2 linked regions of the Nothobranchius furzeri genome follow. The protein of the gene in region 1 interacts with the protein of each later gene in a biochemical or structural test. Links are inferred from orthologs where the notes say so. Each region holds a gene or a part of one and is shown in the gene's direction. Other genes may lie near its edges.

Region 1 (5,840 bases):
TAAGCTCAGCTCGGCAGTGACCTAAAATACATAAATATAATTTTACTTACTGAAAAAAATGAAGTGGAGACTCCTTGGACGCTCTATTAGTGCAATTAATGCCACAGCAAGTCATTTTGTCCAACAATTGCACAAAAAATATCCAAAACAGAAAAAACAAACAGAGACTCAAGATGCCGGAACAGTTTCCAGGCCAGACCGAGGCTCTACTGAGGCCTTTCCATGGAGCTAGCTCTGTGGTCACGTGGGTCTGATGCTCATTAATTATACAGAATTTTAGGCTTTTAACACACTTAAACAGAAGAGTGAGAAAAAAATTCACCCCCCTCAGAGTTGTCATGAGTGTAAACTAGATCATTTAAACCAAAAACATGTTTTGGTACCAGGCTGTAAACATGTTTATTTCTGCTATGAAATTGGTATTTTTAACATGGGAGTCAATGAGGATTTGCTCGCTTCTGACACCAGCCCCTAGTGGATGACGGTGGAACTGCAATTTTTGGTACTTCCGGTAGTCTGGGGATCAAATCCCACCCGGGCCCTCGTTTCTCCACCTTGCCACATTTAGAAAACTAGAAGTAAATACAAATAAAGACACTGGATATACGCTTTACGTTAGCATCCACCATCAGCGTCTCCTGGCTAGGACCTTCTGTCACATGACTGCAACTCTACTCGGCTTTCACACATACGTTTTGGAAAGACATCAGCAGTTTTGTTAATAAATTCTTGTTCGTTAACACCTAAATGTCGTCGTCGTCGTCTTCCTCCGCTTATCCGGGTCCGGGTCGCGGGGGCAGCATCCCAACTAGGGAGCTCCAGGCCGTCCTCTCCCCGGCCTTGTCCACCAGCTCCTCCGGCAGGACCCCAAGGCGTTCCCAGACCAGATTGGAGATGTAACCTCTCCAACGTGTCCTGGGTCGACCCGGGGACCTTCTGCCGGCAGGACATGCCCGAAACACCTCCCCGGGGAGGCGTCCAGGAGGCATCCTGACCAGATGCCCAAACCACCTCAACTGACTCCTTTCGATCCGGAGGAGCAGCGGTTCTACTCCGAGTCCCTCCCGAATGTCCGAGCTCCTCACCCTATCTCTAAGGCTGAGCCCGGCCACCCTACGGAGGAAACTCATTTCGGCCGCTTGTATCCGCGATCTCGTTCTTTTGGTCATTACCCAAAGCTCATGACCATAGGTGAGGATTGGGACGTAGATCGACCGGTAAATCGAGAGCCTGGCTTTCTGGCTCAGCTCCCTCTTCCCCACGACAGATCGGCTCAGCGTCCGCATCACTGCAGACGCCAAACCAATCCGCCTGTCGATCTCCCGATCCCTCCTACCCTCACTCGTGAACAAGACCCCCGAGATACTTAAACTCCTCCACTTGAGGTAGGACCTCTCCCCCGACCCGGAGTTGGCAAGCCACCCTTTCCCGGTCGAGAACCATGGTCTCAGATTTGGAGAATCAACCTAAATGTTTTCTTTATAATTCTAATTTGTTAATAAAACACCATATTATCTTTGTTTTGTAAAAAATGTGAAACTGCATAAAACCAACATCAGACTGACAAAAAATAGAACAGTTCTTACATGTGAAGCCATATCTGTTTGTATTAATGGGGACTTCGTCTGTATATTTCCTTAGTTGTTATCTAAATACATTCTTTGACTCAAAATATTTCTTGGTGTCTTTCAGTAAACTTCTTATATTTTATTTTGCCCTATTTCATCAACATCAAGAACTTTTGAGGGTCACCGTTTATCATTTGCTTATATTTTACATTTCCTTTAGAAATTCAAACATATTTTCTCCAAAAAGTGTTGATTTTTGGACTACAGGACTACAACCGCTAAGACTACGACCGCAAATTTGTTCTGACCAATTAAAATCAAACGTGATAACGTAACTTCCGTAAGCTTCATGTTCAGCCAATCAACTACTTTGACGTCATCGGCAGTCGAAGGACCCCGAGCCGGTTCTGCACCCGAGCAGATCCTGTACCGACACCGGGGCCTGTTTATTCGGGTGGAAAAAGTTGATTTGGGGGTGAGTTTTGGGTTTTGAACGTGTCCTTGGGGGACTTGTAGTTACATCTGCTGTCCAGTTGGTGGCAGAATATCCTCTGTGGTTTGTTTCCAACCCTCCATTAAACAGAAGAAGAAGAAGAAAGGCGAACGTCAACGCAGTCATGCAGCGGGAGAAAGCTAGCAGCGCTGGCGCGGCTGAAAAGTAAGATTTCCAACTACGAATTCGCTCATTTGTTATATATGTTTTATATTTAAGTTTTTGGGTATGTCTGTGTGGTGTGTCTTGGTTTTTCTGTCTATAAGTTTCCTGATATTCAGTCTAACCTCTTTGTCCCCACCAGGCCGGACCGCGAGGCCGCCATAATGTCCAAATATTACGACGGAGTGGAGTTTCCTTTCTGCGACGAGTTCTCCAAGTACGAGAAACTGGCCAAGATAGGACAGGGAACCTTCGGGTGAGACAGACGTGTTTGAGACGTTTCATTGTGCGGTAAAGTGAACGGGTCTGTGTTTGTGCTAGCGGTGCTAGCTGATGTAGCATCGGCCATGTTCTGGCTGTGTTGTGCACACAGAGGAGGGCTAGCTCTGTTTCAGGGTCTTTAGTTGCAGCAGGGACGGAAACTCAGTAAAGATCCAAAGAAAAACCATGATGGACCGTCAGGAAGACCTAATTCGGGGTGCCAACTGGCACTGGCGGGCCGGTATAAAGCATGTTTTAGCGGTTTCTCTGCTCCAACACGCTTTAGTGGTTAAATCACTGTACAGCAGCTCATCAGGCTCTGCAGAAGCCTGTTAATCACCCGCTGATTAAAATCAGGTGTGGTTAAAACTAAAACATGGGTACCCCTGCCTTAAGGGGTTACAGGTAACTGGATCAAGACTGTTACTGATCCTGATTTCTAATGTTTACTCTGAAATTAGGGTTTGCGCTTGTCAATAACATTTAAGTCCTTGTTCTAAAACAGGATAAACGTGTGTTTGTGTCTTTTCAGGGAGGTGTTCAAAGCCAAGCACCGGCAGACGCAGAAGAAGGTTGCTCTGAAGAAAGTCCTGATGGAAAATGAAAAGGAAGGGGTGAGAGACGAGAACCTGGTAGCTCATTTAGAGATGTTGAAAGACTTTACGTCAGTTATGATCTGAAGTGTGAAGCTGGCAATCATATGGGTCTGAACAGCTGGATGTTCCTGGGCCTCAGAGGCTCGAACTAGAGCTGATTTCTTCATCACCACCGGCTCTCACAGCATCCGCGTCCAAACCCGCCTCTCCATGTTAGCTACCTCAGTTGAACTCTCCATCTTCTAGCAGGTTAATGTGGTGCCCACAGTTTTGTCCTCAGTCGCTCGCCTTGCTGAGATTAGCATTGGGACCCGTGGGATACCAGTCCCATTGCAGGGCTCTAATTGGATCCCCACTCGAGTGCGCTAAAGCTTAGAACAAGTGAACAGGGTTTAACGTCCACCACAGTGGACCCACGTGGTCGGTATTGGTTGTGTTGTGTCTGGGCAGTACCTGATACTGGTACGGTCATGGGTGCATCCCTGATCCACGTCCCAGAGTGGCCCCTGCTCTCCTGCAGCCTGAAGAGAGCCTGAAACAAGACAGATCTGAGTTTCTGTTGCTGCTTGTTGTGGTTAAAATCACAGCTGAGATCAAATCAAAGATACTTTATTAATCCCAGAGGGAAATTAGAGTTTCAGTACACACAATTCAGAGATCAGACACACATGGGCAAGACACATGACAAGAATTGGTGACTGTGGTCATTCGCAACCCTGAGTCGCGCTACCTTAATAGAGATAAGAGGGTTACATGAGGATTGGTTCAGGTGGAGGGAAAAAAGGCACTTCAGAGCTACCCTCCACAGGGAGGGCAGCTTTGCTCTGCAAAAAAACACCTCAGACATATAAGCATGAACATCAACAGTCCACAACATGAGACTCCCAATAGGAAGGCGGGGTGGGGCTGGGATCCTTCTTCCCCCAGCGAGAGCAGCCATCAGATGGGCCATTCCCATCTGTACCGGGTCAGCCTGGGCCAGGTAGCCCCAGTCGGCCCCAGCCTGGCCCGGTTGATTCCACACACCCTTTCCTTAAGCCCATGTGGGCTGATTCTACCCACCAATCAGAGGCTTGCTCTAATGGAAGGTGTGAATTTGCTGTCAGCAGTGGGTGTGTTGGCCCTGGTCGGCCTGAAGCAGACCCCCTCGAGAAGAGGGCTGAGAATGAGCCTTGGTTGGCCCGGAAAAATACCAGGCCACCCAGATATGTAAACAACCTACGCTACCCGGCCCGGGCCGACCCGGTACAGATGGGAATGGCCCATAAGGCGCTCATCTACTGTACAGTCACAGGTGGGAGGGAGATCTTGGGAGGCGTGAAGAGCACATTGACTCCTCCAGCTGATGACCTCGCCAGGCTGAAGTCCACCAATTGGGGGGGGGGGGGGGGGGGGTTCACAGCATCTAAAGTTAAAGTCCCATTAGTTGTCACACACACAGGTGTGTGTGCGAAATTTATTCTCCGCATTTGACCCATCCCCTGCGGGAGCGGTGAGCTGCAGACAAGCCGCGCTCTGGAACTATTTGGTGGTTTAACCCCCCAATCCAACCCCTATGCTGAGTGTCAAGCAGGGAGGCATTGGGTCCCATTTTTTCAAAGTCTTTGGTATGACCCGTCCAGGAATCGAACCCCTGACCTCCCAATCATTTTGACTCTGGTGAAGCTGAAGAACACGTTAGAACTTCTCACTGGTTTGAAGGTGGTGGGGTGAATGCTGGAGAGCTCTTATCTGAGTTCAGGATAGAAATATGTGGTGCAGACATGACAGGAGTCTTTCACTGAGGCTCCTTCATTCAGTCTGGAGAACTTCAACAGCTGGGTAGATGTATTGATCACCACTGATGATCAGCTGTGTGAAGGTGGAGAACCATTTTCATGCACAGATGGAGACATGAGAGGGACGACACCGCTGTCTTAGATTACAGCTCACTTTGGTTAAAGTAATATGAACATAAACAAATGACCCGAGTCGTCTCATTAATATCACCGCGTGGACCGCATCTCCAGCATCGCTCAGTCTTCGTTTCGTTTCAGTTCCCCATCACAGCTCTGAGGGAGATCAAGATCCTGCAGCTGCTGAAACACGAGAACGTGGTGAACCTGATTGAGATCTGCAGAACCAAAGGTTAGTGGCTTCAGGCCGGATCTTCAGCTGCAGGAACCATCTGCTGCTGGAGCTGAAGGTGACACCCAGTGTTTTTGTTGTTGCAGCGACCCAGTTCAACCGGTACAAAGGCAGCATCTACCTGGTGTTCGACTTCTGCGAGCACGACCTGGCCGGGCTGCTGAGCAACGCTAATGTGAAATTCACGCTGGCAGAGATCAAGAAGGTGATGCAGATGCTGCTGAACGGGCTGTACTACATCCACAGGAACAAGGTGAGACCGATCAGAAGCAGAACATTAAAGACCCGGTCTCAAGTGGGCCCGGTCCTAAATCGTGTGTTCTGGTTCAGATTCTGCACCGAGACATGAAGGCCGCCAACGTGCTCATCACCAGAGACGGCGTCCTGAAGCTGGCGGACTTTGGCTTGGCTCGGGCCTTCAGCCTGGCTAAGAACAGTCAGGGGAACCGCTACACCAACCGGGTCGTCACGCTCTGGTACCGACCTCCGGAGCTGCTGCTGGGTATGAGCCTCTCTGGACTTCTGAAGGAACGTTCTGTAACAAAGAACCCTCTAACAGAACCTGGCTCTGTGTCCTTCAGGTGAGCGGGACTACGGACCCCCCATAGACCTGTGGGGAGCGGGTTGCATCAT
Region 2 (5,757 bases), on another chromosome or scaffold:
TGTAGAAGAGCCAGGTGGTGACTGCATATTCTTAACTGGGAAACAAAAAAACAAAATCCTTTGTAACCCAGCAACACACAGGTAAGCTGATAGTGAGAAAAGATCAGATTAGTAGGTTTGGAACAGGGATTCAAGCATGTGTGCATGTTTATATACTGAGAGGGATGGGAATGGAGTCCCATCAAGGCCAGTCCGGTGTTGTTTTTGTACGCTGACTCAACACGGGACAAAATGTCTTTACTGCTGACAAATTGATTTACAGATAACGGGGGGTGCCAGTGACCTCCACATCAAAGGTGGTTTTCTGTCGGTCCAGTGACACCCTCGCAGGGTGGCCAGAGGGGGCCATGGCCACCCCTAGAAAACTGTTGGCCACCCAATTATGTTTTAGTTAAAATGTATTTAAATGTTATTAAATTCTATAACAATTAAATTGGAAACAATAATTAAAATAACAGCATAAATTGTCTTTTTTTCTAAAATGTTTCTATTTCTCGGATTTTAGGTAAAAGTGTTTTTAATGAGAGAAATTGAAGGCACAGAGCAATGCGCAGCTACAGGCTAAAGCCTGATTCATGCTTCTCCGTCAGAGCGGAGACACGCAACACCATTATCCGTCCTCGCGGGCCTGCCGGAGAGCTCCGCAAGGACGGACAGAGTCTAGCTCTCTTTTCTAAACATCCATCCGTCGAGACGGACAACGCAAGCTTGTGATTGGTCAGGACGCCGCTGTTGTCTACACCGCCGCCACTGCGCCCTCAAAAACATAAAGAGAGCCGAGCGGCAGAAGCGGAGCAGCTTGAAGAATACCTCGCAAAAAAAAACCTAAAAATATGAACGTTTAATCCCCCGTGACTGGAGGAGTGAAAAGATGCGCAGCAAGCGTTTTATTTGTGGATGGAAATGACAGGAAACGTGGGTTTCGAGGTGGCGAGCGCATGAAGAGGTGGAGGAGAATGAGAGACAAATATGTCCGTGTTAAAAAGTCTCTTATATACAAAAAACACAATATAAACACACTATCTTGGACCGATACATGACAGGATACCACAGAACAGCGCTACGCCCTCTGCTGTCCTGGCGGGGAAGTGCATTGCAACGCTCCACAGGAGACGGAGAACATCTCCGTGCGTGTCTCTCCCTGTTGGAGCTGATGGAGAAGCATGAATCAGGCTTAAATCCTCCATTATTTACCACAGGAACAAATTTGGTGCCATCTCAAATTTTGCACTGGCTCCCCTCGAAGAAAACTTTCTAGGAGCGCCACTGCGTCAGGCACACATTTAGACCCTTGAGGACCACAGATGTACTGGACCAATCAGGAGCTCAGAGTAACGAAGAGACAGTTTTTGTTTAGTTGCCAAACTGAGATGGAACTTCAAACAACAGATGTTTTAATGCAGTGAAATATGAATAAATAAATATATTAAGTTGAATTAAATGACTATCAACTTGCACATCTAGCTTTACTAGTTGCATAGCTTGATGATAGCTAATAATCGTTAGCTGTTAGTCAACAGGTTAATATCAATGACTATCTTTGCCAAAACGATCTAGACATAGATTCAGATTTTTGTTTATTTACCACTCCAGAAGTCCCCCATGTCATGCTTCCCTCTGATAATATTAACACCCTGCTCACAGCCGTGAATTCTTGTCAAAGAGGTCGCCAGCAGTCTGAGAACCTTCTTCAGCTAACACTAGCATGACTTTTGGTCAGAAGACTGGAGTGCAAGAGAAACCGCACCCACCCACTTCCGTTTTCGTCTTCTTATTTAAAAATAAAATCGTGGAATCCGCTGAGTCCAATATGAGTGCATGTCCTTATTTTATACAGTTGGTAAACACGCACAACTTTCTGTCATTTTGAATTGTAAACTGGAATAAAGTGCACAGAAGTAAGTTTGAAAGTCCAGTGTAATACACGGTTTTGAAGACCAAATGTGTGATCCATTGAATTTTATCAGCGCTTTTAATTTGAAGGGCAAGTAGAAAAGTGTCCCGTTCTTCCTGTCCGCCTGCTTACCGGTGTCATGTCGAAAAAAGCACCCTAGCCATGAAGCGTAAGATTTGACGTCAGTCCAAAATCTGCAAAGATTCTATTACTGTGTGCTTTTCAGTGTAAATACGATCATCTCACTTCTAAACAAAATTAAAATTACTCCCCGTAAAATGTGGTGTTTTAAAAATCGTATGTAAAAAATATGCAACACAACCTGATTGACATCAAACTTTCATTCAAATGTTATTTTCAAACCTTTTCCCTGACCAGTGTGACAGGGATACACTTTTCGGCAAACCCCTAGCTTTGCGACGTGCGTCGCTGCAGTGTTGCGCTTTCCTGTTTACGGGCGGGAAGAGCGAACGAGACAGCAGCCACGGTGTTTAAATCTCCAGGACATTTGTTTTATTGATCAAACACGTGATTCGTTTGCTACATTGACACACTGGCCATCGCGAGGTGGGTTTGATACGTATAAAGTGGACTGGTGCAGAAAACGAAAGAGGTTCTGGAGACTGCAGGACAGATGGAGGATCCTCCTGCTGATTCTGGTGGCGGCGGCGGCGATGCTGCTGCGGAGGGCCCCGCAGTGCAGGTGGCAGATATGTGCTCTCCCAGCGGGGCTCTCCCTCTGCGGCTTCTAGAGTGGAAAGTCAAGCCCGGATCTCTGGTTAACGTGGACTCTGTGCTGGCACTGTGTGCTCCCATGCCTCGGGAGAAGGGGACGGGGGCTGCCAGGCTGCCCGAGAAGAAGGTGAAATCAGACCGTTCTGGAGTAGTGAAGGAGCTAGGTTGTCAAGTTGGACAAATCATTCCTCCAGGGTGAGTCGCTCTGTTTACTACAGCACACCCCTTCTAAGAAAATCTACAGCCAAACAAATAAAAAAAAGTTTTGAAAATACTTTTTTGAAAGCATCCCTGCTTGAACGTCAGTTAGCCAGTAGCTAACACGGCTAACTTGATTAGCATTGTTGCTAGTAAGTTAACCCTAAAACAACAGTTGTCTTGGAAGTAAGAGCGGAAGTTCGTATACGTCAGTCTCAGAATTGGTTTTAAACGTCGTATTGTGAATTTATCCAATATATTATGGAACATGTGTGGAAATAAAAGTGTGTGCGATCACCGCTGCTGTAAATTCAAAGCTGCGTTTTTCAAGAAGAGCAGGCGATACTTTTATTTTGAAAGCACCACCATGCTGGGCAGTGTTGTGGTGTGTTTGAGTCAACAATCAGATCAATATAGGAAGAAAACAACACGTTTGCACAGTGCTGTCAGGGACGTTTTCAGGTTTTAGACAGTCAGGAAACAGGAAAATCATTACCTCACTCTTCATTTACTGATATAAACCTGAAGTGATGTAATTATATTATTGCCTATTCTTGTGGCCTTCAGGTGCATTTTGTAAAATCCTACTTCAAACAAAAAAAAAACCATGCTGTTTTTTTATTTGCAAACATGACAGCTTGATACTAATCAGGATTTAACTCAGCCTTAATTGTACTACAATAAAAGTGTTGCCTTCATTGGATGAATCAGCTTTATTTAATTTAATTCTAATTACATAGCAGCACCAGTGTGTGTGTAGCCCATTTATTTGTAATAGTGTAAATAGAGACAAACATCTATATGAGCCACAATAGCTGAAATACGTGTTTAATAAACATGTGGGTGCTGTAATAATTGTTTTATTCTCTCACCATCTGTCTTTTTAGTGGTGTCATCGTCAGGATTGAACAGTGCAGCCATCCCATTGTCATGAAGGGCTTGTGCGCCGAGTGTGGCCAGGATCTTACTCAGTAAGGACACATTGACTCAGAATCTACTTGTTTTCAGCTGTTGCTCCTCCTTTCCCAGTTCCAGATGTGGATGGACATTGTTTCTGTTTAGTTATTGTTGGACACATGCTGATCATTTAAAAAAGTTGGTAAAATAGGCTGAATAAATGTCATGTTGCAGCGAGAGCAGTGTTTGGTACTAGGGCTGTCGCGGTAACCGCAAAAATGAAATATCGCGATATGAAGAAGCCCACCGCGCTGCATCATGCGCCACCGCGATTACTGAACTTGGTTCAACTCAATGATGCATGTTGAGAAGGATGGCTGCACTGGTATCAAAACGAAACGTTACTTCGCTCCTTTGGGAGCACTTTGGTTTTCAGTACGTCAGCTGCTGCGCAGCCAGAGTCCTTGGCCGAGACAGAGCTGCCACCAGCGGCAAAAATAAATAAATAAATAAATGCTCGGAGACCTGCTGAAGTCCCGGACAAGCACTGCTTCTGCAACCGTCCCGAAGAGAGTTGGAGCCGAGCTGGAGCTCACTCGCTACCTGCAGGAGGAATGCATCCACCCTAAAGAAACCCCCTGACATGGTGGAGCAACAACCGGGAGAGATTCCCTTTGCTCGCCAGAGTCGCACGCAAGTACGTGTGCGTTAGCGCAACGAGCGCACCATCCGAGAGGGTTTTCAGTGTTGCTGGAAATGTTGCCACCCCTCTCAGATCCTCTCTCAAACCGTAGTTAACATGCTGGTTTTCCTTGTAGGTAACAAGGACGTGGCCGAGCTATAAAGCACCGTCATTCGTGTGTGTGAAAGTGAAATGATAGTGCGCCCGCCCCCCGGCGCGCGCGCGTGCGCCCGGTACATGTAATTTTTTATGCTTGATTTTAAACAACTAAACAAAATGGGGACTTGTTTCTTATTTGTTAGATGCTGCAGCCAAATTTGCATTTAAAAGTTTAACCTTCTCCTGAATTTTGTTGTTTTTAAGTTCAGTCGGACTCCGACTGTCGGAGAAACAAACGTTACTGCGATCTGTGTTGTTACTGCCCTTTGATCTGCATTCAGTAAAGTGTTATTAAAGAAGGCACGGCAATTTTTAACCTTTTTTAAATGTGTAAACATTATGTTTAGATAGTACTGCAATAAAAAAGGGCTGCAATAATATCGCACACCGCAATATTAAGCCACCCTGAATCACCGCAGGAGGAATTCCTCAACCGCGACAGCCCTATTTGGTACTGGGTGTTGTTCTGTGTGGTGCCAGCGGGTGGCACCAGAGATCACACATGGATGTTAGGTGACTTTGATGCATTTCAAGGATGTTTATATAATTTCTGCAAGGTTAGCATGTTACATATATTTAACCAAAAACAAGACTCAACACCGAGTCGTCATATAATCTGATACATGGCTTTTGCTACGCTGGGTACAGCAAACACCCAGGTGGTAAGGGTTCATTCTTCCTCATCAGACAATAATGAGTAATAAAAACAACATATGAGGGGAAATTATGTTATGATACTGAATTGCCATTTAAAAGCAACGGATAGATTTTTTTTGAGAATTTACATGCAAACATTAACTATTTATTTTGTGTGGTGCATTTCAAACTCCGACTGCTAGGTGGCAGCAGTGTGTACCACCTTCATTCTGACGGAACAACCAGATCTCGCGATGACACGAGCTGTGTGTTGGAAGTGTGTGAACCGAGTTTTCCAGTTAAAATTTTGGGGGGTTCATTTACAATTAAACCTAATCGATCAATAATCAAAATAATGAAATCATAAAAGTCTCAACTGTTTTCAAACACGCTGCTGGTAGAACAAGAACAAAAGCTAAACCAGAAAAATGTGACGCTGCATGTATTTAATACAGAGACCTCAGCAGTGAGATAAAATGTCAGGGCATGCTTTTGTGGCTTAATGAGTCCACGTTGGGGGCTCTGGACGCTGAACTGCTGCAGGCATGAATGCATG

The links. The genes of interacting proteins can lie anywhere in the genome.
Region 2: of the proteins of cdk9 (region 1) and ctdp1, one has a biochemical effect on the other in vitro, tested with the Homo sapiens proteins (3 studies listed by BioGRID). The link is inferred for Nothobranchius furzeri from reciprocal best matches to the Homo sapiens genes CDK9 and CTDP1.

Annotation. Positions count from the first base shown.
Region 1 is NC_091742.1:88,948,562-88,954,401, reverse strand, and holds the start of cdk9 (cyclin-dependent kinase 9), read left to right. Parts: upstream 1-2,081; 5' UTR 2,082-2,185; coding exon 2,186-2,226; intron 2,227-2,365; coding exon 2,366-2,479; intron 2,480-3,016; coding exon 3,017-3,098; intron 3,099-5,116; coding exon 5,117-5,207; intron 5,208-5,293; coding exon 5,294-5,460; intron 5,461-5,537; coding exon 5,538-5,709; intron 5,710-5,788; coding exon 5,789-5,840. UniProt on the Homo sapiens protein: Protein kinase involved in the regulation of transcription.
Region 2 is NC_091751.1:1,630,484-1,636,240, forward strand, and holds the start of ctdp1 (RNA polymerase II subunit A C-terminal domain phosphatase), read left to right. Parts: upstream 1-2,319; 5' UTR 2,320-2,528; coding exon 2,529-2,824; intron 2,825-3,714; coding exon 3,715-3,798; intron 3,799-5,757. Other genes in the region: adck5 (uncharacterized aarF domain-containing protein kinase 5), read right to left, coding at 1-35, 1,586-1,609. UniProt on the Homo sapiens protein: Processively dephosphorylates 'Ser-2' and 'Ser-5' of the heptad repeats YSPTSPS in the C-terminal domain of the largest RNA polymerase II subunit. This promotes the activity of RNA polymerase II.